Linked DNA regions of Caenorhabditis elegans. The protein of the gene in region 1 interacts with the protein of each later gene in a pairwise test. Each region holds a gene or a part of one and is shown on either strand. Other genes may lie near its edges. The genes, in order: sur-6 and sas-6.

What was found.
Region 2: the proteins of sur-6 (region 1) and sas-6 interact in a two-hybrid assay, tested with the Caenorhabditis elegans proteins (one study listed by BioGRID).

What each region holds. Positions count from the first base shown.
Region 1 is NC_003279.8:9,747,549-9,759,000, forward strand, and holds sur-6 (Serine/threonine-protein phosphatase 2A regulatory subunit sur-6), read left to right. Parts: upstream 1-6,573; 5' UTR 6,574-6,689; coding exon 6,690-6,885; intron 6,886-7,223; coding exon 7,224-7,321; intron 7,322-7,375; coding exon 7,376-7,632; intron 7,633-7,681; coding exon 7,682-7,817; intron 7,818-8,064; coding exon 8,065-8,134; intron 8,135-8,185; coding exon 8,186-8,350; intron 8,351-8,398; coding exon 8,399-8,523; intron 8,524-8,572; coding exon 8,573-8,709; intron 8,710-8,755; coding exon 8,756-8,930; intron 8,931-9,299; coding exon 9,300-9,428; 3' UTR 9,429-10,340; downstream 10,341-11,452. Other genes in the region: Endoribonuclease endu-1, read right to left, coding at 305-368; spp-25 (Saposin B-type domain-containing protein), read right to left, coding at 1,041-1,179, 1,335-1,417, 2,252-2,368; F26E4.2 (Tnp_DDE_dom domain-containing protein), read right to left, coding at 10,341-10,480. UniProt on the Caenorhabditis elegans protein: Probable regulatory subunit of serine/threonine phosphatase let-92.
Region 2 is NC_003282.8:13,784,316-13,795,767, forward strand, and holds sas-6 (Spindle assembly abnormal protein 6), read right to left. Parts: upstream 4,417-11,452; 5' UTR 4,395-4,416; coding exon 4,312-4,394; intron 4,267-4,311; coding exon 3,916-4,266; intron 3,863-3,915; coding exon 2,962-3,862; intron 2,832-2,961; coding exon 2,688-2,831; 3' UTR 2,630-2,687; downstream 1-2,629. Other genes in the region: lact-9 (Beta-lactamase-related domain-containing protein), read right to left, coding at 370-480, 528-740, 1,181-1,330; iscu-1 (NIF system FeS cluster assembly NifU N-terminal domain-containing protein), read left to right, coding at 1-174, 229-296; icap-1 (Integrin Cytoplasmic domain-Associated Protein homolog), read right to left, coding at 1,476-1,550, 1,600-1,705, 1,800-1,921, 2,283-2,408, 2,469-2,513; Y45F10D.7 (Small-subunit processome Utp21 domain-containing protein), read left to right, coding at 4,793-4,855, 4,903-5,066, 5,112-5,600, 5,660-5,810, 6,557-6,870, 8,289-8,874, 10,064-10,710, 11,447-11,452. UniProt on the Caenorhabditis elegans protein: Central scaffolding component of the centrioles ensuring their 9-fold symmetry. Required for centrosome biogenesis and duplication.

The DNA.
Region 1 (11,452 bases):
ATTTCATTCAAATAGAAATTTATGTTAAAAAATTGAATTCAAATATTTAATACATACAAAATAGCTCATTTCAATAAAAAAAAATCTAATTTTTGAAACAAAAAGATAAAAAAAATAAAACAATTAATGTTTCATTCGAGAGTAAATTTGATTTTTGTAGAAAATTTCAGAAAGTATGGATTTCAAAACCCGACGGAAAGTTCTCACTTGTCATAATGTCAGTCAGTTTTTGAATTCATTCTTAAAATTTTTAACAGAGATGATACTTATTTTCAATTCAATCTAATTTTAAAAAAAAACTCACTCGGGATTTTCTGGCACTGTGCCAACACTGTCAAGATTGAGATAAAAATGAGCACAGAGCACATTTTGTCACTGGAAAAAGTGGAGTGACCGATGGATGTAGAAAAGAAGAAAGAATTGTTGTGAAAGATGCGAACAAGAGATTCGGAGAATTAGAGATACAAAGAGTATATGTTGTGCTGATTTTATCATTTCCACTGACTCATTGGCAACAATCAATTCCTATGAGTTAGAATCTACATAATTTAATTAAAACTAAAAAGTAAGTTTGAAAATCGAGAACAAAAAAATAATCAAAACGTCATTTGAAATCGTTTGACAAGAGGAAACAAATGATTTTTTGTCTTTTTTGTGTAACATTTCACAGAGAAAGATGTCTTGGCAAACATCGGCGGGAGATTCAAAGAAACACATGGCAGGGAAGAAAAATACTTTTTGGAACTTTTTTTCTTGAAAAAATCTGAAAATTTTCTTCATCGAGTTGGGTGAAATAGTATTCAGAAATAATATAACTTTAATAAAATGTTCTTCAAAAAGCTTCTAGATTGTTTGCCTACCTCTAAACAGTCTGAAAATCATCAAAAGTACTTAGAAACTTTTTTCTGAAAATAAAATGTTTCAACAACCCTGTCAATCAGTAAACAAGCAGTGTTTCAAGAAGAACAACACCATGAAAATTATATTTGAATATTTAAATTCAATGAGTATAAAGACATTAGATAAACAAGATAAAAATTTCAGCATAAAAGTTCTCTTTGACAAATTCGATATGAAGATGTTCCTTCTTGAAGTTGTTGAAGTATATCAGCAGAATCTTCATCCGCAATTTTGTGACATTCTTGATCAGTGAAGCCGTTCAAATTTAAATCACATTGTCTGAAAATTGTTTGTGTTGGGAAGGCAGTTGTGGTCGGAAGGTAATGAGCCGGAACTTTGATAAAATATCGGGTACATATGACTGTTCAAGAAATGATAAAATAATTAAAGTGACGAAGAAATATGAGAATAGACCAAAATGTGTTAGTACTTACTGGTAAAGAGATTGCCGAAGTTGGTCAGGAGTTACATTTGTGAAATTGTTACGATACTCATATCGGACATTATTAAGGATTACCTGAAATCGGAAGAAAATTTAGATTCCTATTAGGTTTTTTGTTGGAATTATTATAATAATCGCATTCAATTTCTAAAAAAACAGGTGTTGAAATGTTGAAATGTTGAAAATTTGCAACAAAAAATATTCCAAAAGTTGTTTCTAGAAACTTGCAAATTATTGAAAAACTTACATCAGCTTCTGTAACTGACGGAAGAACTCAATTTTGAAGCAAAAGTTGGGTTCATTTTTTGAGATTTTTCCTAAACTTTTGAACTTGTTGCTATTAGGACGTACAGAACCCCGTCTTTGTTTATTTCTAAAAATCTGATTTTTTCGGCATATATTTCAAAAGCGAGCATTATTGGAAATGTCTCCAAACGTTTTTCTAAGTCTATTTTATGTTTAGGATGTTTTGTGAACCTGCGAACAACTTGAGGTGTTTTCAAGAACTTTTATACAAAAAAAAGAAAAATTCCACAAGTCTTCCAGATTGTTTGGGTACCTCAAGACATTTCAAAAAATTATAAGTCTGCATTGTCGGCATTTGTAGATTTTGCAAAAATCCACCTTCTCGAACAACTTTACTGGCCGCGAAAATAGCAAAAAAGTTGTTTTAAAAAATAAATACAGATCAAGCTGTTTTCTAATTTAAAATGCCCGTCTGTAGTTAATTTTTTTTTGTAAAAACCTATATACGTTATTTTTTTCAAATGGCATAAATGTTATTTGGAAGTACAAAAGTGAGCTTAACACTTTCTTCAAAAAAAGCTGAACAAATTATTTTTTAACTTATCAACTTCCCATATTTCCTTTTAAAAAAACAACCGAGACCGAAATATAAAATTTGCTCACCTCACACATATGACAATTAGGTCCTGACCATACATCAATTCTTGGTTGTGGAATTGTAGGAATACCTCGACTCAAAACAAGAACAAAAAGAGCCGAAACAAGACAAATGTACTGCATGACACTGCCCCAAAAACTGATTCGTTTTCTTCATTTTGTTCCTTCTTCAGTAGCTGCTGCCCCTTGTCAATTTGTTGACGTCATCATTTTATCAGTGGTCGTGAGCTGTAAATTTACTAGACATTTTCGTGCACAGCCACATGCTTTTTCAGGTTTTTCGAGTGGAACGATCTAAATGGTTTTTGATATGTATTTTCATGTACCTGGTTATTGCTCTTTGTTTTCAAAAATAAACTCCTTATTCTAAAATTTTAAATGTTTATCTTGTTTATTCAAAAGAACCCTGATAGAGCCTACAATGCATTGACTGAATATATTTTAATCATTATGGGTAATTGGAGTTTGCAGCCGAATGTTTTGCACAAAAATCAGTTTGTTTCGGCGGAGCCATGTAAGCCCCTCTACTGCTCTTGAACATTTGTAAAATATTCAGAAATTTCAGAAAAGCGATTTAAAACGAGGTGGAGTCATCCATAACATCCTTAGTTCTGAATGTATCAAGGAACGAATCTACAGCGTCAAAGAACCTCGTAGCATTGGTAAAAAACATCGCGGTCAATTTTGGAACCATTTATCGGCTGGAGCTAGATTTGTCTTCTTCAAAACTTTCTGTCCATTGTTCAAAGAGGTTCTGAATTCTTCATTTTCAATTTTGAAATAAAATATAATTTAACGTTACAAATTATATAATGAGAGAGGATTCAGCAACTTGTCAATCAACTTTAGAAACTATTCAGTTTGACGTTCAAGAAGAACTTGTAGTATTATTCCAATACTCCAGTTTCGAATTTTGGACGTTTTCCGATCTCACCTCGAACGAAATGCTGTCAAATCTAAGTGAAGATATGCGCCTTTAAAAAGTACAGTAATCCATTCGCCGTTTTGGAATGGTGTAATGTACTATTTAAAGGGTGTAATCCTCTTTGCGCGACCTTCATTAAAAATATTTCGTTTGTGGCGAGACCTGGAAAATCGAAACTTACAATTGTTGATAATTTCGGGAACTTCAAAATCGCCCATTCTTTTTTCAACTTCGCTCTTAATTTCCTTTTTTCGCAGTTTACGGACAATTTTTTCACAAGTTATTTTAACTTTGTGAATAATAATTTTGCCATTAACCAAAAAAACACTATTTTTTAATAGAATTTCTTTTCTTTACACCCATCTTACACTAGATTTCTAGTTCAGTACAAATTGGCTACGGTCAACAATTCAGCACGGCGCCTAAGACGCAAACACCGTGTACACGATGACGCGCAACTGCACACTCTTCGGTTCAAATTGTGTTTTTTGCGTTTGAGTTCGTTGATTCATTTTTTCATCTATTTCTTCCGATTCATAGGGTTTTCTACTCTTTTTCAGTAATTTTTTTATTATTACGCTTGGCACAATGAGAATTCTCGCGATATTGCGTTAAAAATGGCTGGTAAACAGGCTTCGGTCGAACGAAGGCGGTAATGAGAGTCGAGTACTTGAAGAACATACTCTCAAGTGGCGACTGATCGATTGGGTTAAGGTGTGCTCGAAAAGCTCATTTTTCTTGTCATTCGATCTACTGTGAAAATGAAACTAGTTGGAATTGTCTCGAATATTATTTGTACCCTTGTTGTCCTGTTTTGAGATTTCCATTTCTTTGACTCGGTTTTTTTTGCGGCAAGCTGAGTCGACATATTTTATGTTTTTTGTATCACTTCGCGGCCACATTCTTTTCTGTCTTGATATTTTATTTGTGCTTCCTCTTTTTTTCTGCTTTCTCCTTTTCTGTACGCGTCTCCGATAATTATTCATGTAGAGAGATGGAGAGAGAGGTACTAGTGGTAATTGAGCAGCATGAGCATGAGAGAAGAGCCCTGAACGAGCCGAGTTTTCAGAGGAGCGCAGATATTATATGTATGTTTTGGCAAGCACGAGAGCAACACAACCAGTTAGATGAATACGAGTTTTAGTGTTTTCAATGTTTTTTCCAAGTTTTGAGCCATTTTTAATTTCGAATTTAATTTTAAAGGCACTACTAAATAATTGCAAGTATAGGGAAATTATAATTTTATCAACCTTGAGGATTTATTTTTTATTCAAATTTTTGGTCTATATTAAAAACCACTTGCACATTGTCAGAATTTCTTCCCTAATGAGCAAAAAGCGAAATTTTCAGCAATTCGATCACAAAAATCATGTGTTTCCGGATTTTGTTATGCGAAATTATCTAAATTTTGAAAAATAACTTGTTACCGACTTACATCACATCTCTTTTTCTTCGTTTTCTTCCTGAAAACAAATTTTCGGCAAGTCCCTAAAAAGAAGAGCCCAACTCATTACACTTTTTGCGAACACTAATTGACCCTACTTTCACTGAACTAAGTTTTCTTTTACGAAACGGTCAAAATGTGCTTCCAAATAATGATAGTAACATTTTTCAAATAAAAAAAGAAAGAGTTGACTGTCCATCAATGCTATTAGCTTCGCACACAGTTTCTTTGTGTTCCATCGTCGAGCTGTCTGCGTAACTCGTTTAGGTGCACTGTCTCGTGTTTCATACTCTGCGTCATTCCGTTTTCGCCATTCGGTTCGTCGCCGGCGCCATAGCCAATCGATTATTTGGTTCTTCAAGGCAGTAGTCGCCCATCTCTTCATGTCTCCTCGCGCTCCCTTCGGAAGAACACTGATATCTCTTCTCGCTCCTTCTCGACGTCTTCTTTTCCTCCCCCACCATGTCTTCTGCTTCTCCACCGGCTGATGCTGTCGTCGCCTCATGCTGCACACGTCGTTGACACTCACAGGCCCGCACACACATGGAGGGAGTGCTCCATCTCTCGTTTTTGCCGCTTAGAAAATGGATGTATATTGTTTTTTAATCCATCATGATTCCTTCCGTCTCCGTTTTTCACTTTTTATTACATTTTGCCAATTGGATTTCTGTTGATCACAACAATCTTATTCAGCATTTTCCTTATTATTATTTTGAAATAATCAAGCTTTTAACTTTTGAAATCATATTTGCTTTCTGATCAATAATTTTTTGTTTCTATCGGAGGACAGCTGATAAGTAAGAGGTTCCTTCTCGTGTAGTCATGAGTAGTCATTGATTATTTCCGTCTTGTTGTTGCCCTCTGGCCAGCTGCGTGAAGTTCTTCTCTGCGTGATCGCATACTGTTTCAGTCATTTTCCTATGACTCATCTGATAATTATTGATCGATCGATTGGTTATCTACCATTTTGAAAAAAAAGTTGAAGTTATAATCTGATTTTGCGCCTCACTCTGCTCATTATTATTCGGCACACACGCACACATACACACTCATTTTTGTTTCCTTTTCTGTCTCTTTCTCTCTACGGTCTGTCTATTGCTCCGTTTTTGGTTAACTGGAATTCACACAGGTGAGGGAGCGGATTAGGAAGAAACTTGAATAGAAAAAAGAATTCAGTGAAAATGAGATGATTAGAGAACTACCTCGAGCCATGTATCTCTGCTTTCGTGCTTTATGAGCATTCAGTGTTGATAGTAATAACATAATGAGATGACTGAAGAGACGCAGATGTTGTGAAGAAGCTCGAATTAATCTCGCGCGTTTGCTCTGCGCCGATGGATTAAGAGTCCCTTGGTTGGCAGACGAGATCTCGGTAAGCATCATCTGCTTGTTTTCTCCAACCAAATCTTCGTGCTTTTGACCAACAATTTTTTTTTGACTAAAATGCGGCGATCAGAGAGATATTACTTATAAATTGATCTACGTAAATTAAGCATCCATTATCAACATTTTTGTGTTATTTCATTTTCTAATTTTGTTGCACTGAAATGCACTCAAAACCGGTCCCTTCCGTTTACAAATTGCAAATGCGCCCTTTCGCACCCTAGTTTTTTTGCCCGCGTTTCGTCATGTAAATTGCGATAGCATTGCGGCACCGCTGTGATTCTCGGTCATTTTTGTGATCGAATCAAACATACAAACTTTTAAACAACGTTCTTTGTCTCTAATTCTCTGACCTGAGTGTTCCATTCCTTTTGACTCTTTGAAAAAACTTTGCAGCTATTTCTCTTTCAAACAATTGTCTTAATTTCCTGTTTTACCATGTTGTGCTTTTTCTTCATCACTCGACAGATTTGTTGCCTAGCAACCTGCGGCATGAGGATTTATGCTTCTTTTTTTCCCGATGTCAATCTCTGAATTCCTAATCCAATTTTGTATATAATAATTTCCATTTTTCAGACGCATTAAAAATAGTCGTCATTCCCGTGTCTCAAACACTTTAATCTTCGTCACATCCAGTGATTAGGAAGGGAAGAGAACCAAAGAAACAACGAAAAAGAGGAAAAATTTGAATAATGGTGATGGAAGTGGACGAACCTGCAGTTGCGGCGACTACATCGCAAAATCAACCGCAGGAGCATGCGAATGACTTTGATATGGATACCTCCGAGGGACCAATTGAGAACGATGAAACATTTGAACCGGTAGATCAAATAAATTGGAAATTCAACCAGGTGAAAGGAAATATAGATGCCGATGTGCACACGGAAGGTAAAAAATTGTTACTTGAAATTTCCCTACGTTTTTGATACTATTTCTTAAAGACGCACGATTTATTCAGAAAAAAGTTGGTGGTTTAATTGCCTTGTTTTTTTTTAAAATTAAAATACTACTTAGTTCATTTTTTGCGAAATTTGTCATATTCTTTTCATTTTTCTGTGAAAATTGTTTTAAATCAGTTTTTAAAGTAAAACATTCGAAAAAAATTACCATAAACATTATTGCGCGCCGAGACCCATCTGAATTAATGCGTGCGACTTTAAGATGATATGTCAAAAATTAGTAAAAATTATGATGCCTAGAATACTGAAAAATCGAATAATTTTCAGCCGATGTGATCTCTTGTGTGGAATTTTCACACGATGGTGAATATTTGGCAACGGGAGACAAAGGAGGACGTGTTGTAATTTTCCAACGAGATCAGAGTGTAGGTTTTAGTTTTTAGAAAGACGAGAACTGTTTTAAATATTTAATTTTTCAGGGAAAGTATGTGAAAGGCGTTCGATCGAGGGAATATAATGTTTACTCGACATTTCAATCTCATGAACCTGAATTTGATTATTTGAAATCACTAGAAATTGACGAGAAAATTAATCAAATTCGGTGGCTTAAAAAGAAGAATGCAGCCAATTTCATTCTCTCGACCAACGACAAAACAATCAAGCTGTGGAAAATTAGTGAAAGAGAGCGTAAAATTGGAGACGATGCATGGAATCTGCCTAGAACAAACAGAATCAAGTATAACATTAATGATTAAATATTTTAAATATATAAATATAATTTTCAGCACTTCCTCCTTCCGAGGTCGCTTACAAATACCCTCGATCGTGCCAATGGAGTTGATAGTTGAAGCAAGTCCGAGACGAGTTTACGGAAATGCTCACACTTATCACGTCAACAGTATTTCAGTGAATTCTGATCAGGTATTTTAATAATTTTTTTTTGTGTTCAGCTTTTTTCAATCCAAAGTATACGATGAATCAAAATCTCAACAGTATAACCTTCTTCACATGTTCGGCGTATTTTTTTAACTATTCAATTTATTAGAAAAATAGTACCAGGTTGGCTGAATTCTTTTTTGTGAAAATTTAAAATGTTTGGTACTGCAAGGACCAAAATATCAATTATGTATAAGTGAACCGAAATTAAAAATTATATTCCGATTTTCAGGAAACATTCCTATCTGCCGACGATTTGCGAGTTAACCTTTGGAATCTGGAGATTACCAATGAGTCTTTCAGTGAGTTTTGAATACTTGTTTTCAAAAAATTTTAATATCGATTTCTTCCAGACATTGTCGACATCAAGCCTGCTAATATGGAAGAACTTACGGAAGTTATTACTGCCGCCGAATTCCATCCAACGCAGTGTAATTGGTTTGTATACTCTTCATCAAAAGGATCTATTCGATTGTGTGATATGAGAGATCGTGCTCTATGTGATGCGTATGCTAAAAGTGCGTTTGGTTCTGTGTATTGATTATATAAATAATATTAATTTGCAGTTTTCGAGGAACCAGAAGACCCTCAATCTCGATCTTTCTTCTCGGAGATTATTGCATCTGTTAGTGACGTCAAATTCTCACATAATGGAAGGTACTTGCTTACGAGGGACTATCTTACTGTCAAGGTAATTATTAATAATTAAAAAGAAAATTTGAACAACTTTTATATTTCAGGTGTGGGATTTGAACATGGAATCACAACCGGTAGAGACATATCCAGTGCACAATTATTTACGAACAAAACTCTGTGCACTCTACGAAAATGATTCAATTTTCGATAAATTCGAGTGCGATTGGAGTGGAGATGACAAGTAATTAATTGCAGTACTTTTTCATATTATAATTTTCTTTTTGCAGACATATTCTCACGGGTTCGTATCATAATCTGTTCCGTTCATATGCTCGTGGCAATAACCAAGATGCGAAAACTTGGGAAGCTCGGCCTCAAGAACCACATTCACAGCTCCGATCTCGATTTGTTGTACCATCAGCGAAACGGAAGAGAAACAATCTGTCATCAAGCGGTGAAACGGTAAGATTTCAATTAAATTTAAAAAAACGTCTTCATGTTTAAATGGGTCTCTGCGCGCAAAAAAAGTTTATGGTAGTTTTTATTTTTATTTTATGCGACTGCTTCTCGTTTATTTTTTATTTTTCAATATAATTACTTCGTATTTAGCGACATTTTTTCGCTAAAAATACACTTTAAACGACGTAATTTTATTGAAAATGTAAAATAAACGAGGAATCAGCCGCATAAAATAAAAGCACAACCGTAAATTTTCTTGATCGCCAAGACTCATCTGAATACATCCGTGCACCTTTAAGAATGCATGTTAAACTCTCGTGAAAATATGATAAACATATCTTACTTCAAAATCAACAAAAACCCAATTTACAGACCGAAGAGGATCTTTCATCTGATCAACTTCAATTTGATCGTAAAATATTGCACACAGCATGGCATCCAAAGGATAACATCATTGCTCTTGCTGCCACTAACAATCTCTACATCTTCTCAGATGTTTAAATTATTGTTTTCGTAAACTTGTTGGATTTCGTCCTCCCCCAATCATCATTTTCCCTTTTTCTCAATTTATCCTCAAATATCACATTCATATAACTCTAAATTTTTTTTTCATATTTTCCCCATATTTTTGTGAGTCAATTCTTTCTCAAATCCCGTCCCTTCTTTCCCGTTTTCGTAGTCCTCATGTCGACTTATAGACATTTAATCGCGTATTCAATGTTACTCGCTTTCTTTCTTTCAAATCCTTCGTCATCGTAAATTTTTGAAGTAAAACAGGAATAAGCTCTTAGTTGGTTTCTATTTTTCAACTGTTAAAGTTGTCTTTTGCTTCCAATTTGAGATAGAGTTGTACTTTATTATTCTTATAGCTTCTTTTTCTTTACTCTCTCCCTCTCTCTATCCTCTCATATCATTCTTGAATTACGTGGCCCGTTTTCTATACTTTTCCCTCACTCTTCAACTCCAGTGTTCTCTTTCTTGTCTCTTCCACCACCACTTTTAAAAAGATAACTGTAGATCCTTAACCCCGAATCATTCGGGTCGTGTCTCTCCCACTTTTAGGATGATTTCTCCTGTTAGATTCACAATGTGTTTCACGACTTAATCCTCTTGTTTGAAAGCGTGTGAAGGTATTATTCTCACCTTGTTAGCTCCATTCTGTAATTTTGAAAACTATAAAAATCGCCCAAAAAATTTTTGAAATTTTTCCGACTTTAGTTATTTTCTCTCCACTTTCTCTGTTCGTTTGTCTGTCACAAAATTACAAACTTTCAAATCAAGAATCTTGACATAAATTTTTGTATTACTTCCCTCATATTTCTTCATCATTAAATCCCCGTGGGTGTGTCTCATCATTAAGTCTTCCTTTTCCCATAAAATTGTAAGCAATATTTATTTTCCAATCATAAAAACTCATTTATTGAATGGAAATAGTCGACAAATGTACAAAAACAATAATAATAGTATCACATTTGTGGCGATGAGGATTTCAGTTCCATGGCGACGATATGTTTGACGTACTAGTACTTGTGCATCATATGTGACTTTGGAGACTGAAATAAATTAGAAAAATATATTATTGGTGTCTCGACACGACAAATTTATAAATGCGAAAATGTGCGCGCCTTTAAAGATTACTGTAATTTCAAACTATTGCTGCTGCTGAATTTTCACCGAATTGCATAGTTAGAAAAATGGAATATAACAATAAAAGCATAATTTTGAACAAATAATTAGAAAAAATTTAAAAAAAAACTCGATGAAAATTCCGAAGCAATCATAGTTTGAAATTACAGTACTCTTTAAAGGCGCACAACATTTCGCATTTAACTAAAATTTGTCGTGTCGAGGCCGCGTACCGTATTTTTGACGCGGATGTATAAGAGAATAATTAATTGAAAAAAATCGATTATATTACGTTGGATTTTGTTTTGAAAAAAGTACAAAAGTTATAACTTTAAAAAATAGATAAATCGAATCGATGAATTATTTATACTTTGATTCCTTTTGACTTGATAAATATCATTTCCATAGACAAAAAAAGGAGAAAACTATATTTAATCCTTAATCCAAATTCTGACATTTTTATTTTTAAATCGAAACTCTCTTTCGGACAATTGATATTATTAGTTAACATTTACATCTACAAAAACAAGATAATCCTCTAAGGTGTTGTCAAGACAGAAAACATACGGCTGATTTGTTTAGTACACATGGCGAATTTTCTTGAGGGTAAGGGAAAATACACAAAAAATAATATGTGCATTTCCTGTGCAGTTTCAATTTTTTAAAGTTTTTTATATTTCAATTGTTCGAAAATATTTTTAAGGGTGGAGTTCGGAAATTGGGTAGTTTTAATGTACTCGGAATCGATATGCTAAAATATCGCAAAAGAAAACTGATAAAAACAGTGAAAGATGTACATTGCCAACTTCAAAAAATTCGCTAATTCCCTGTTTGAATTTCTTCCAAAATATGAATTCATGTACACTTTTGGATCAATCAACGACTTCTGACTCCACAAA
Region 2 (11,452 bases), on another chromosome or scaffold:
ACGGAAAAATCATCGAAGCCAAATTCAAAACATTCGGATGTGGAAGTGCAATTGCCTCATCTTCCCTGGCAACCGAATGGATTAACGGAAAAACTATCGATTACGCGTCGAAAATTAAAAATGACGAAATTGCCAAAGAATTGTGTCTTCCACCAGTCAAACTTCACTGTTCAAGTGAGCTTTTTTCCCTATTTTTCTCGATTTTTTTCGCAACTAAAAATGTTTCAGTGCTCGCCCAAGACGCCATTCAAGCCGCTTTGAAGGATTATCAGAAGAAGCAGACTAAGAAGGCCTAAGCCTGAAGAATGTGTAATAGACAATTTGTTTTCGTTATAGAAATCGCTATATATAAAAGAGCTTTTTTGTCACCTTTTCAGTTGCATAATGACGAATTCCAGCGGAATGCGACAGAAGCTGTCTCATTGTGATTTTGACGTCTTCGTTTTTGAACTTTTTCGCCGGGAATTCAGGAAGATATTTCTGAAAAAATTAATTTCAGATTTTCCCTTCCGTTTTAAGTTGCAAACCCGAATATCCTCATCAAGATCTAATGTTCCATTTTCAACGCACTGTGCTGCCAACGTGGCAGTTATCGGCTTACTGATGCTCGCAATTCGCATCACAGAATCTCCTGTACATTTTGCAAAACTTTCGAGATTTGCATACCCAAATCCACTTTTCCAAACCATTTTTCCATCCAGCGAAACTGCAATCGAAAGGCCTGGAATACCTTGAATAGCCTGAAAATAATGTCGAATTGGAGAAAGTTATTACACAGACTTGGAATTTAGAGATTTTTCCGCAATTACCTGGTCTCGACACGACAAATTTTTGTTAAATATGAGAAGGTGTGCGCCTTTAAAGAATACTGTAATTTCAAATTCTCATTTCTGTGGAATTTCAATGGATTTTTCACGATTTGTCAAAATATGAGTGTTCTTACTGTTTTTTACAGAAAAAATCGGGGTTTTTCCGATAAAAATATAATTATTTAGTAAAAAACAGGAAAAACACCTATATTTTAAAAAATCGTGAGAAAAATTCCACGGAAACGAGAATTTCAAAAGTGACAGTACTCTTTTAAAGGCGCACACCCTTTCGCATTAAACAAAGTGTCGCGTCGAGACCCGGCACCGTATTTTTGGTACAAAAATCGCAAAATTTCGAGTTCCCAACCAACCATCGTCGTCTCCACTAGCTCCTTGGCTTTTTTGATTTTCAGCAAATTTTCAGATTTTTCGCTTTCCCTCCGGAAAACTGTGGCTCCCAATGGAACAGCAACAGCGGTGGCACCAAGAAGCATCTTTGGACAGGAAGTGTACCATGACATGCTGGAAATTTTTTTTAATTTTTCCAAGCTCTGCGAGCTAGTGACAAATATTCCAAAGATGAAGCAACAAATGGTTCTAGGTGGCAAAAAATAACTTGAAAAATTAAATTTTTATTTTATGTAACAAGCAAAAAAAAAGAAAAAATTAAGCAATCGACGGAGATGGCGGCTCAATTACTTCGATGAGAGCACTGGCTTCCTCGGCTTCGATGAAAGCGTTCTGAAATAAAATAAATGACTATTACGAAAACTATGAAACATCCCAAAACCTTCACTAAATTACACAAAATATTAGAAGAAGCGTCGTCAGTGGCCTGAAGAAGATGGAGTTGGTATCGTGTAGTTGTGCTTTTTTCGACGAAGACTATGTTGGTTCTGAAATTGTTATTAAAATTACGGTCTCAGGTCTCGAAGCGAACGGAATTTTTTCTTGGTGATTTTCATCTAATTCATAATTAACCAATCGCACCTTCCAAATCCATCGGCATACGTCGTCAAAAGTATCAGCTCGATCAGTGGAATCCTCAGTTTCACTAATCGTGTTCTTCTCGAAGAAATCCGAAGTCCGTGCTTGGTGACCTCCATGTAAACCTTAAAATTCAAAGTTTTAATTATATTTCAACAAAAAACGGGATCTTCTGCGATTTTACACCAAAATTACGGTTTTGGGTCTCATCGCGACAAATTTTTGTTAACTATAAAAAAAATGGTGTGCGCCTTTAAAGACTACTGTAATTTGAAACTTTGTGAGTTTTCACTGATTTTCCAACGATTAATAACTGTTTTCTTGTAAAATATATTTTTTTATCGAAAAACAAAACAAAAAGAAAATCGATACAACAACAAGAATTACACGTTACAGTATTTACTCTTTAAAGGCACACAACCCTTTGCAAATAACTGTGTCGTGTCGAGACCGACAAAAATTCTGCGTTTGTGTAATATTCCCAACCTCCTCATGAGAATCCCCGTTGTTTTTCGGTAATTTCCCTAAAAGTTGGCTATTTTCCAAGTGCTCAACAATTTTTTCCTCGAGAGATCGACTGCAAGACGTTCCATTTTGAATTAGAGAATTTATCTGGAAAATTAAATGTTTTTTTTCTGAAGAAAACCTAGTAAACTTTAAAAAATTCCTTACCTCTTGAACTGCCACGTATAATGCTGAAATTTTCGGGTCTGTCATTTTTTTTTTTGAAAAATGTTCAAGCGAGTTTCTGGCGTCATAATGTTTGCGGAGGACTCCCAACTGATAAAAACCTTCCCCATTTGAAGTGCTGGCGGTGGCCTAGAAATCTCAATGAAATAAGCAGAGTTTTATTTTCAAGTAAAGGACAAGAAAAAATCAATAAAAAAGATTTTATCGTTGAGCGGGTGGGGTGTTCGTCACACTTGAACCAGTAGTCTCGTCGGCGATTAGTTGACTGTTGAAACGAAAAGCATGAGGAGTTGCAATTGTCGAATTTTGGAAATTAAGAGTTGTATTGTCACGGAATGGGGTGCGCTGAAATTTGAACAAATTAAAATATTTTTTTGAGTTGAAACAGTTCGGAAAAATGCTCAAAAATTGTGTGAAAATTGGAAATTGCCGGAAAAATCGATAATGTAGCTCATTTCGTAGAACTTCTACTAACCGAGTTCAAATTAGCTCCATATGGAGTGTGGGGTCCAAGAACAGGCTTGAATGATGGTGTAAGCCTATTTGTTAGTCCGGTCTGAAGCCCGGGAAGCCCAGAAGGAGCTGGACTAAACCGTTGGGCTCGGTAATGGGCAATTTTTTCTTTAAGATTCTCATTCTCCATGCTCAGCTTCTCAAAACTATCCATATTCTCGGCGGCCTTTAATTTCTCGTTCTCCAGCTCCTTCCTCAAGATTCCAATAGTTTCAGTGAGACTCTCAACCATCGAATCTTTTTCCTTCAAATCAGCTTCCAGCTCTCCTAGTTTTCTCATATCCAGACTTTGTTGATTCTGTTGTTGGGAGTTTCGCTTCAACAGCTGATCGGCCTTCTCCAGGTTCCGTTGAGCCGTGCCAAGTTCTGCTCGAAGCTTCCCAATTTCTTTCTGATGAGCCACATTTCGTTTCTGAAGCTGATCCACTTTTCCTTGTTCTTCTCTCAACATATTTCCAACAATCTCCAGCTCCTCCTGATTTTCTTCCAATTGCTTTTGCAGCGACTCCGTGTCTTGTTTCAAATCAGCCACTTCATCTTCTTTATCCTCAACTAATAATCGAATATTCTCTCTTTCCTCTTTCACCAGCTCCACCTCATCTTCCAGCTCTTTAAACTTTTCTGACATTTCTTCGAATTCCTCCTTCACACCAGACAGTTTTTCAACTTGTTTTTCCAAATCTCCACATTTCTGCCGTAGGCTTGCTAGCTCATCTGCAGATTTATAAAAAGTGGAGAGTTTCACTGCTTGACTGGAACAAATTTTCAGAAGATGTGAAATTAAATGATCTCCGCGGACTGCGTGAAGCTTGATGGAAAAGATTTTTCCTTTCGAAATAGGAGTCTTCGAGAATAGCTCAAATCTGGAAGAAAATAAAAAATTAAATTTCAATATTAGGTAATCTATTTCCCTTACGAGCAAAAATTCTTCTCGGCATCCAAAATAATATTGATTTCCGTCGGCTTTCCTGGATCAGCAATACTATGATAACCTGCTTTTTTCCGTGCATCAACCTCCCCATCTTCTTCCAAATTTTTCACAATATTTTTACATAACAAGTGTTGAATGATAACTTTCGGAAAAGCATCGAAATCCACTGTTAAATCGTGATCTCGAGCCAAAATCTGATATTTCTCGTTGTTCAACGTTTCCGAGAATAGAAATTCAAAATCATCGGAGCGGCTGATTTCGAATTTTAGCTCCTTTTCTCCACTGGTTTCGTTCCTTTGCTCTGATATTTTCAGCTTAACTTTTGTTTTGTATGCCCTGAAATTCTGTTACTTTTGAAAATCGTTTGCTCCCTTTTCTTACTTAAAATCCGGTTGATTTAGGCTCAACGGCTGTAGAAGTGAGGCGATGAGTGTTTGATCGAATAATGCAATTTTGCTAGTCATTTTTGTGGGAGAAAATCTGAAAAAAATTATGTTAAAAATAGGAAAAAACAGCAGAAAATGAAGAATAAAAAATTTGCGCAAAAACAATAAATTTGAGATGGCGCGCTCTATGGGACTACGGTGTGCGATTGCGGACTTGGCAATTGCGGACAAAACATTGTAAACTACGCCTAACAAAAAATCGCATTTTCTTTTTTTTTTCACAAACTAAAATTCCCCATTTCAGCCCATTTTCCGTCAAATTTTCACATTTTTGAAGATTTAATAAGGGAAAATAGAGAGTTTCCCGCATTTTCAATCATTTCTACAATCCTACGTCGTTTTTTTCTTGTGTGAGCCACTTATCCCGTTTTTTAACAATTTATCTCATTTTTCAGCTTTTTCAGCTTTTCCAGCAAATGAAGCGCATCCAGTCGGAGCTCTTTGCTCCTTATCGATTCTTGGGTGTGGTAACCGGTGATGTAAGCTTTTTTTCCGAATCTGAAGTGAAATTACTTATTTTTTCCAGGTCGCCCCGTCAATTCGTTCAACATTTGTCGCAAAAAAGTCGGCATTGTCAGTTTTGTGCCCAATTGATAATGTAATCATGCAATACAATGGAAAAAAGCTTCGTGCGATTGGAATGTCGGAACCTTTAAGCGATAAAGTGTCAGCAGTCGCGTCTTCTAGCACGTAAGCGGTTTAGAAAAATGCAAAAATAATTATATATCATTTCAGGAGCGTGTTCGCTGCTCACGGAACCAACATTACTTCTCTAGCATTCTGCAGAGATATCAAAGATTCCATCGACTTGGGCGCCAAGATCAAAATCATGACATTAATCGGAACTCAGCTGATCGCAGTTGATATTTCTTCTGGAATCCACGTCATTGATACATCAGAAGGAGGCCTTCAAATGAGCCTATTGATGGAAGGATCCGACGATTTTGAAATAACGGCAATCTGTCACCCATCCACGTATTTGAATAAAATCGTGGTCGGCAGTAGCACTGGTCGAATGAAAATTATCAATTTCCGAACTGGAAAAGTGATTCATGAGTTCCAGCGAAGTTTCGACTCGAGAATCACAATTATCGAGCAAACTACTGCCTTAGATGTGGTAGTTGTAGGGCTGGAAAATGGTGAAGTGATGCTTTTCAATGTGAAAATGGATAAGATCATCACATCGTTCCGACATGACGCAAAGATCACTAATGTCGCTTTTCGGTGGGTTGTGTTTTAAATTGAAAAATATTATTTAAAAAAATTATTTCCAATATTTTCAGTGACGACGGCGAATCAACAATGGTAACTGCCGATAAGAACGGAACAATGGCTGTGTGGGATCTCGAGAAGCAGGAATTAATCGGAAAAATCACGGGAATTCACTCTGACGAGATTAATTGTCTCTATTTTGTTCCAGGGGAGCCTATCATGGTAATTTCCTGTTAAAGGTGGAGTGCGCCCAGTGGGAAAATTGCTTCAAAACACGCCTATGGGGTCACAATGACCGAATATCATGATAAAAAATTCAAAAAATTTTTCCTGATTTTATATGATTTTTTGAAATTTGAAAAAATCTCAGTTTTCTCCTAATTCCTATTTGAATTTCCGCCAATTGGAATCGTTCGATGGAGCGCACTTGCCTTATTTTTATCAATTTATTTTATTTTTTCTCATTATTTCACTGATTTTCTCCATTATTTGTGTATATATTTATCGGAAAGAGAAGTAAAAAAGCAAGATTAATGCAAAATGTTTGTTTAAAAGTGATTAAAAATGCGTAAAACTGTAAAATTATGATTTCCGACGACAACAACAAGATTTTTTAAAAAACACTTTGCATTTATCGTGAATTTTTCTCTCTTTTTCCGAAAAAAATACACAAATAATAAAGAAAATCAGCCGAAAAATGAGAAAAAAATAAAATAAATTAATAAAAATAATGCAAGTGTGCTCCATCGAACCATTACAATTGGCGGAAATTCAAATAGGAAATAGGGGGAAAACTGAGATTTTTTCAATTTTCAAAAAATCATGTAAAATCAGGAAAAATTTTTTGAATTTTTTTATCATGATATTCGGTCATTGTGACCCCATAGGCATGTTTTGAAGAAATTTCCCCACTGGGCGCACTCCACCTTTAAATTCCGAAGAAAAGGTTAAAATTCAATTTTTTCCAGCTCTCCGCTTCACTGGATAACTCTCTGCGTCTCTGGATTTTCGACAGTGCAGATGGAATGCCACGTGAACTTGTCCGCCTGGAAGGACACTCGAAACCATGTGCCAGTATCAAATTTGTTGGAAAAGATCACGTTTTGTCGGCCGGAAAAGATGGATCCATTCGAAAATACGATGTTTCTTCGTTGACAATGAGACAGAAGCTTGGCACAGTTGGACAGGGTGTTAAATTGAATAAAGAAGTTCAAAATGTAGCTGAAATGGCGTTTGGATGGCAACGAGAAGCTGCATGGAATAATGTGTTTTGCAGACAAGTGTACGGGAAACGCTTACTTAATATGTGCCAAAAAGAACGAAATTCCCGGAAAATTGACTCAATTTTGGCTAAAATCTCCAATTTTGTCAACTTTTCCGGTTGGAAATTACCTTTTTTTTCGATTTACACCTTTATTGCATTTTTTTATCGTTTATCTCACATTTTTGGTTTATTAGGGTACACTCAAAGGTGGAGTAGAGTCAAAAATCAACCGTAATGACAATTATAACTGTTAAAAAGTTAAAAAAAAATATATATATAGTCACAGTATCTTTCGGCTAATTTCCTTTAAATAACGAAAATTGACCGAAAGTAACTGTAAATATATTTATTTTTTAAAAGTTTTTTACAGTTATAATTGTCATTATGTTTGATTTTTGATTGTACTCCATTTAAATGCATCTTAAATAGCGAAATAACGTGATAAAAACTATCAAACAATAGCAATAAAGGAAAATAAAATTCAATAAAAATTTAATTTCCGGCTGTTGTGACACGGAAAAGTAGGCAAAATCTGAGATTTTAGGTGAACTTAAGCCATTTTTAAAGGTTGAGTACCGAAATCTGAGAAATATTTTTTAAATGACTTCAAATTTTCCCCGGCTTCGGAATATCTAAATGAAAAAATTCAAAAAAATTTTCCTGATTTTATATTTCAACTTGAAATCGCATTGCGTCCCCATGAAATTTTTCAAACGCCGAATTTTCGCGCCAGAGACGCCATGTGTCGATTTACGAGATTTGTGTAGATTTTCGAAATTTTTTAATATTTATCAGATGCTGATTTCCGTTTTTCAACGAGTTTCCTTCATTTTCGTCGGTTTTTGCCAAAGTTTTTTTGAAAATGTGTGTTTTTTTTTAAGTCAATTAAACATTGTATTATCAAAAAACTAATAAAATTTTCGATTTCCGTCGAGTTGTGACCTAAAAATTGGAAATTTTGTTAGTTTTTTGATAATATAATGGTTAATTGACTTAAAAAACACATTTTCAAAAAAAAAACTTAACAAAAACCGACGAAAATTAAGGAAACTCGTTGAAAAACAGAAATCAGCATCTGATAAAAATTGAAAATCTCGTAAATATACACAAATCCCGTAAAACGACACATGACGTCTCTGGCGTGAAAATTCGGAGTTTGAAAAATCCCATGGGTGTAGAAGCGATTTCAAGCTGAAATATAAAATCAGCGCAATTTTTTGAATTTTTTGAATTTAGATATTCGGAATCAGGGGAAAATTTGGAGTAATTTAAAAATATTTCTCTTTTATGATTTCGATACTCAACTTTAAAGGAATTTTTCAAAAGTTTCATTTTAAAAAATTATTTATTTGAGCAATTTTTGAGCACACTTTTAGTCTCCACAAGCAAAAACCTCCTATATATTTCCAGCTTCTAATGTTTCCTTCCTATTCCAGAAATGACACAAAAATCACCACATGGCAAACGAGAAACAACACCTCTGGAGCATTTACACTGGAGCATGATCGTTTCAAGAAAAAAGTGGATTTTATTGATGCAAATGCGACTGCTCTCTGCGTATCACCTTGTGGAAATTTCGTATTTATTGGATATTCTACAGGTCATATCGATCAATTTAATGCTCAAAGTGGCCGCCACGTTCATTCATTTACTGCTTCCACCACTGTGAAAAAGAGCAAGAAGTCTAAGAATCCACGAAAAGGTCCCACTAAAACCAACGGCGATATTCACAACGACACTCCGGCTGCCGATTCTCCGATTACATCGCTTTCCGTAGATCAACGTGGAAAAGAGCTAATGAGCACTGATGCTCAAGGTCATATTCTGTTCTGGTCTCTTTCAACGAAGGCTATCAATGCGAAAATGTTCAAAAAAGATGTTAGATTGGGAATTTGTGCACCGTGCCCGTCGAATAGTTTAGTGGCGTTGGTGGCGATTGCTGAGAATGGGAAAGAAAGTGTGATTCTAGTGGATACAGTGTGTCATCGAGTTGCTAGAGCATTTGAGACTGTTGGCAATAAGGTAGGTTGCCGTGAAAAAAAGTTCGATTTTTTCAGGAAAAAAACAAAAAATTCAGGTTTTCCGGAAAATCGAAAAAAAAATCAGAAAAGCACGATGATATTGCATTTTTTAATCAATTTTTTTTAAAAGTTGTTTAAAAAACATTTAAAAACGCTATATATTCCTTTTTTCCCATTTTAACCGGGAAAAAAAAATTTTTATTTTGATTAAAAAACCAAAAAAAGAAAATAAACAGTTTTAAAACTAGTTTTGGCAAAAAAAAAACTCAAAAAAATAACTAATCTTTGCTAGAAAAGCCCGCTTTTCCAACAAAAAAAAAAGATTTTTCCAGCAAAAAAAACCATATTTCGCCAAAAAATGTTTAATAAAATCCATTTTTGGAAAATAAACCAAAAAAATTAATTCTTTGCCATAATGAACCAGAAAATATATTTTTCCCAAAAAAATTATTTAAAAAACCCCAAAAAAAAAAATTTTTTACAAAAAAAATCAGTTTTCCCCAACAAAAAACCATAAAATGGTTCTATTTTTGCTTTTAAGCAACCTAAACAAATTTTTTTTTAACCGTAAAAATCGTAAAAACCAAAAAAACATTTTTGCCAAAATAAATGTCCAAAAACCCAAAGAAAATCTGTTTTTATTTTAAAAAAAAACCCGAAAAGATTTAAAAACCAGAAAAAATATAGAAAAAATAACACAAAAAGCCCCATTTTCCCTTTTAAAAAATCCAATTTTGCCATAAAGACCCAAAAAAATTAATTTTTGTCCAAAAATCTATTTTTTGCAAAAAAAAAATCCGAAAACCCATATTTCGCTAAATAATGTTTAAAAAAAAATCCATTTTTGGAAAAAAAAACCAAAAAAAACCCCATTTTTTCCCGAATAATCCATTTTTGACATAAAAAACCAAAAAAAAAATAGTTTTTCGCAAAAAATGTTTCAAAAATCCATTTTTCACAAAAAAAAGAAACCAAAAAAACCCTTCATTTTTCCCAAATAATCCTTTTTTAACATAAAGAACCAACAAAACAAATATATTTTTCCAAAAAAATCCATTTTTTGAGCCAAAAATAACTTCAAAAATCCTTTTTTTTTCAAAAAAAAATCCAATTTTTCAATACAAACCAAAACATCTATTTTTGAAAAAAAACCAAAAACCCACACTTTTTCAACAATTAAAATTTTTCAGGTCAACGCGATGACATTCTCATCAGACGGAAAATGGCTTCTAGTCGCTGACAATGATTCTTATATCCGTGTCTTTGATGTTGCCACTTCTCAACTAATCGATGTACTTCTCTTCTCAAAACCATGCATTTCAATGTCCTACAATGAAACAGGCCAATACTTGGCTACAGTTCATGAAGGAGAACGGGCCGTCTATACATGGGCCAACAAGGTTCTATTCGTAGCTCACATCAATATTCGAGCACATCCAGCTGACTACTTACCATCTTGGAGCATGATTTCTACGGAAGAGGGCGGGACTTGTGATATTGACGATGATGAGGATGATTTGACGACGCTTATGGATCAAGATATTAAAGCGATGAAAGAATTGCAAATTGATGAGAATCTTGTTACATTCTCAGGACTTCCATCATCTCGTTGGGCTAATCTTCCAGATTTGGCACTTATTAAAGAGCGAAATAAGCCAACTGATGCTGTTAAAAAGATCAAACAAGCTCCATTCTTTCTGTCGGCGTCTGCCACTTTGGATGGATTTGAATTTGAAACTGAGAATATTGGAGACGAAATGGACGGAGATTCCAGATATATTACATCGAAGAGGAATTTGTTGGAGTTGGAGAGCTCATTTACTACTCTGCTCAGAAAGTTAGTAGTTTCTGGAAGCTCTCGGGCTTCTCAGCTCCCAAATGTTAGATTTTTCCCAGAGTTTGACCTTAAAAGCGTCGGTGTACTCCACGTGGAAAAATGGATTTTACAGTTTTTGTTTGAAATTTGTATTTTTTCAGCCGAATCGAAATAATTTTCTTATTTATATTATTTTTGTCCAGCTGAACATTTCAAATCGTCGTTTTCCATTTTTTTTTGGCAAAAAATGGAGATTTGCAACTTCCACAGCCCGAATCGCTCAGTCCACTGAAGCGCACTTGCACTTTCTAATTTTTCAGTGTTGTTTTTGAAAAAATGGAAAAAAAGTGTTTTTTTTTTCAAAATTTGCAGAAAATGATTTTTGCGGTTGGAACAATATGAAAAAAACTTTTTAACCAGCATTTTTCAACAAATTTTGAGAAAAAACGCTATTTTTCGCCAATTTTCGAATTTTTTTCCACTTTTTCTAGAAAAAAACAAGCAAAAAAGAAAAAATTAGCATTCAAAAATCAGAAAAGAGCAAGTGCGCTCCAGTGGACTGAGCCATTTCGGCTGTGGAAGTTGCAGGCCTATCAAGCTTGATGATCAGAAAAATCCAGCATTTTAGGCTAAAACTGTAAAATCCTCTTCTCCACGAGGAGTACACAAAAGTTAAAATTTGTAAAAGAATGGAAGAGCTCAGAGAGCCCGTGAAAACTGATAATCCATTTTTCTCAACAAATTAATTTTTTTTCAGCGCCAA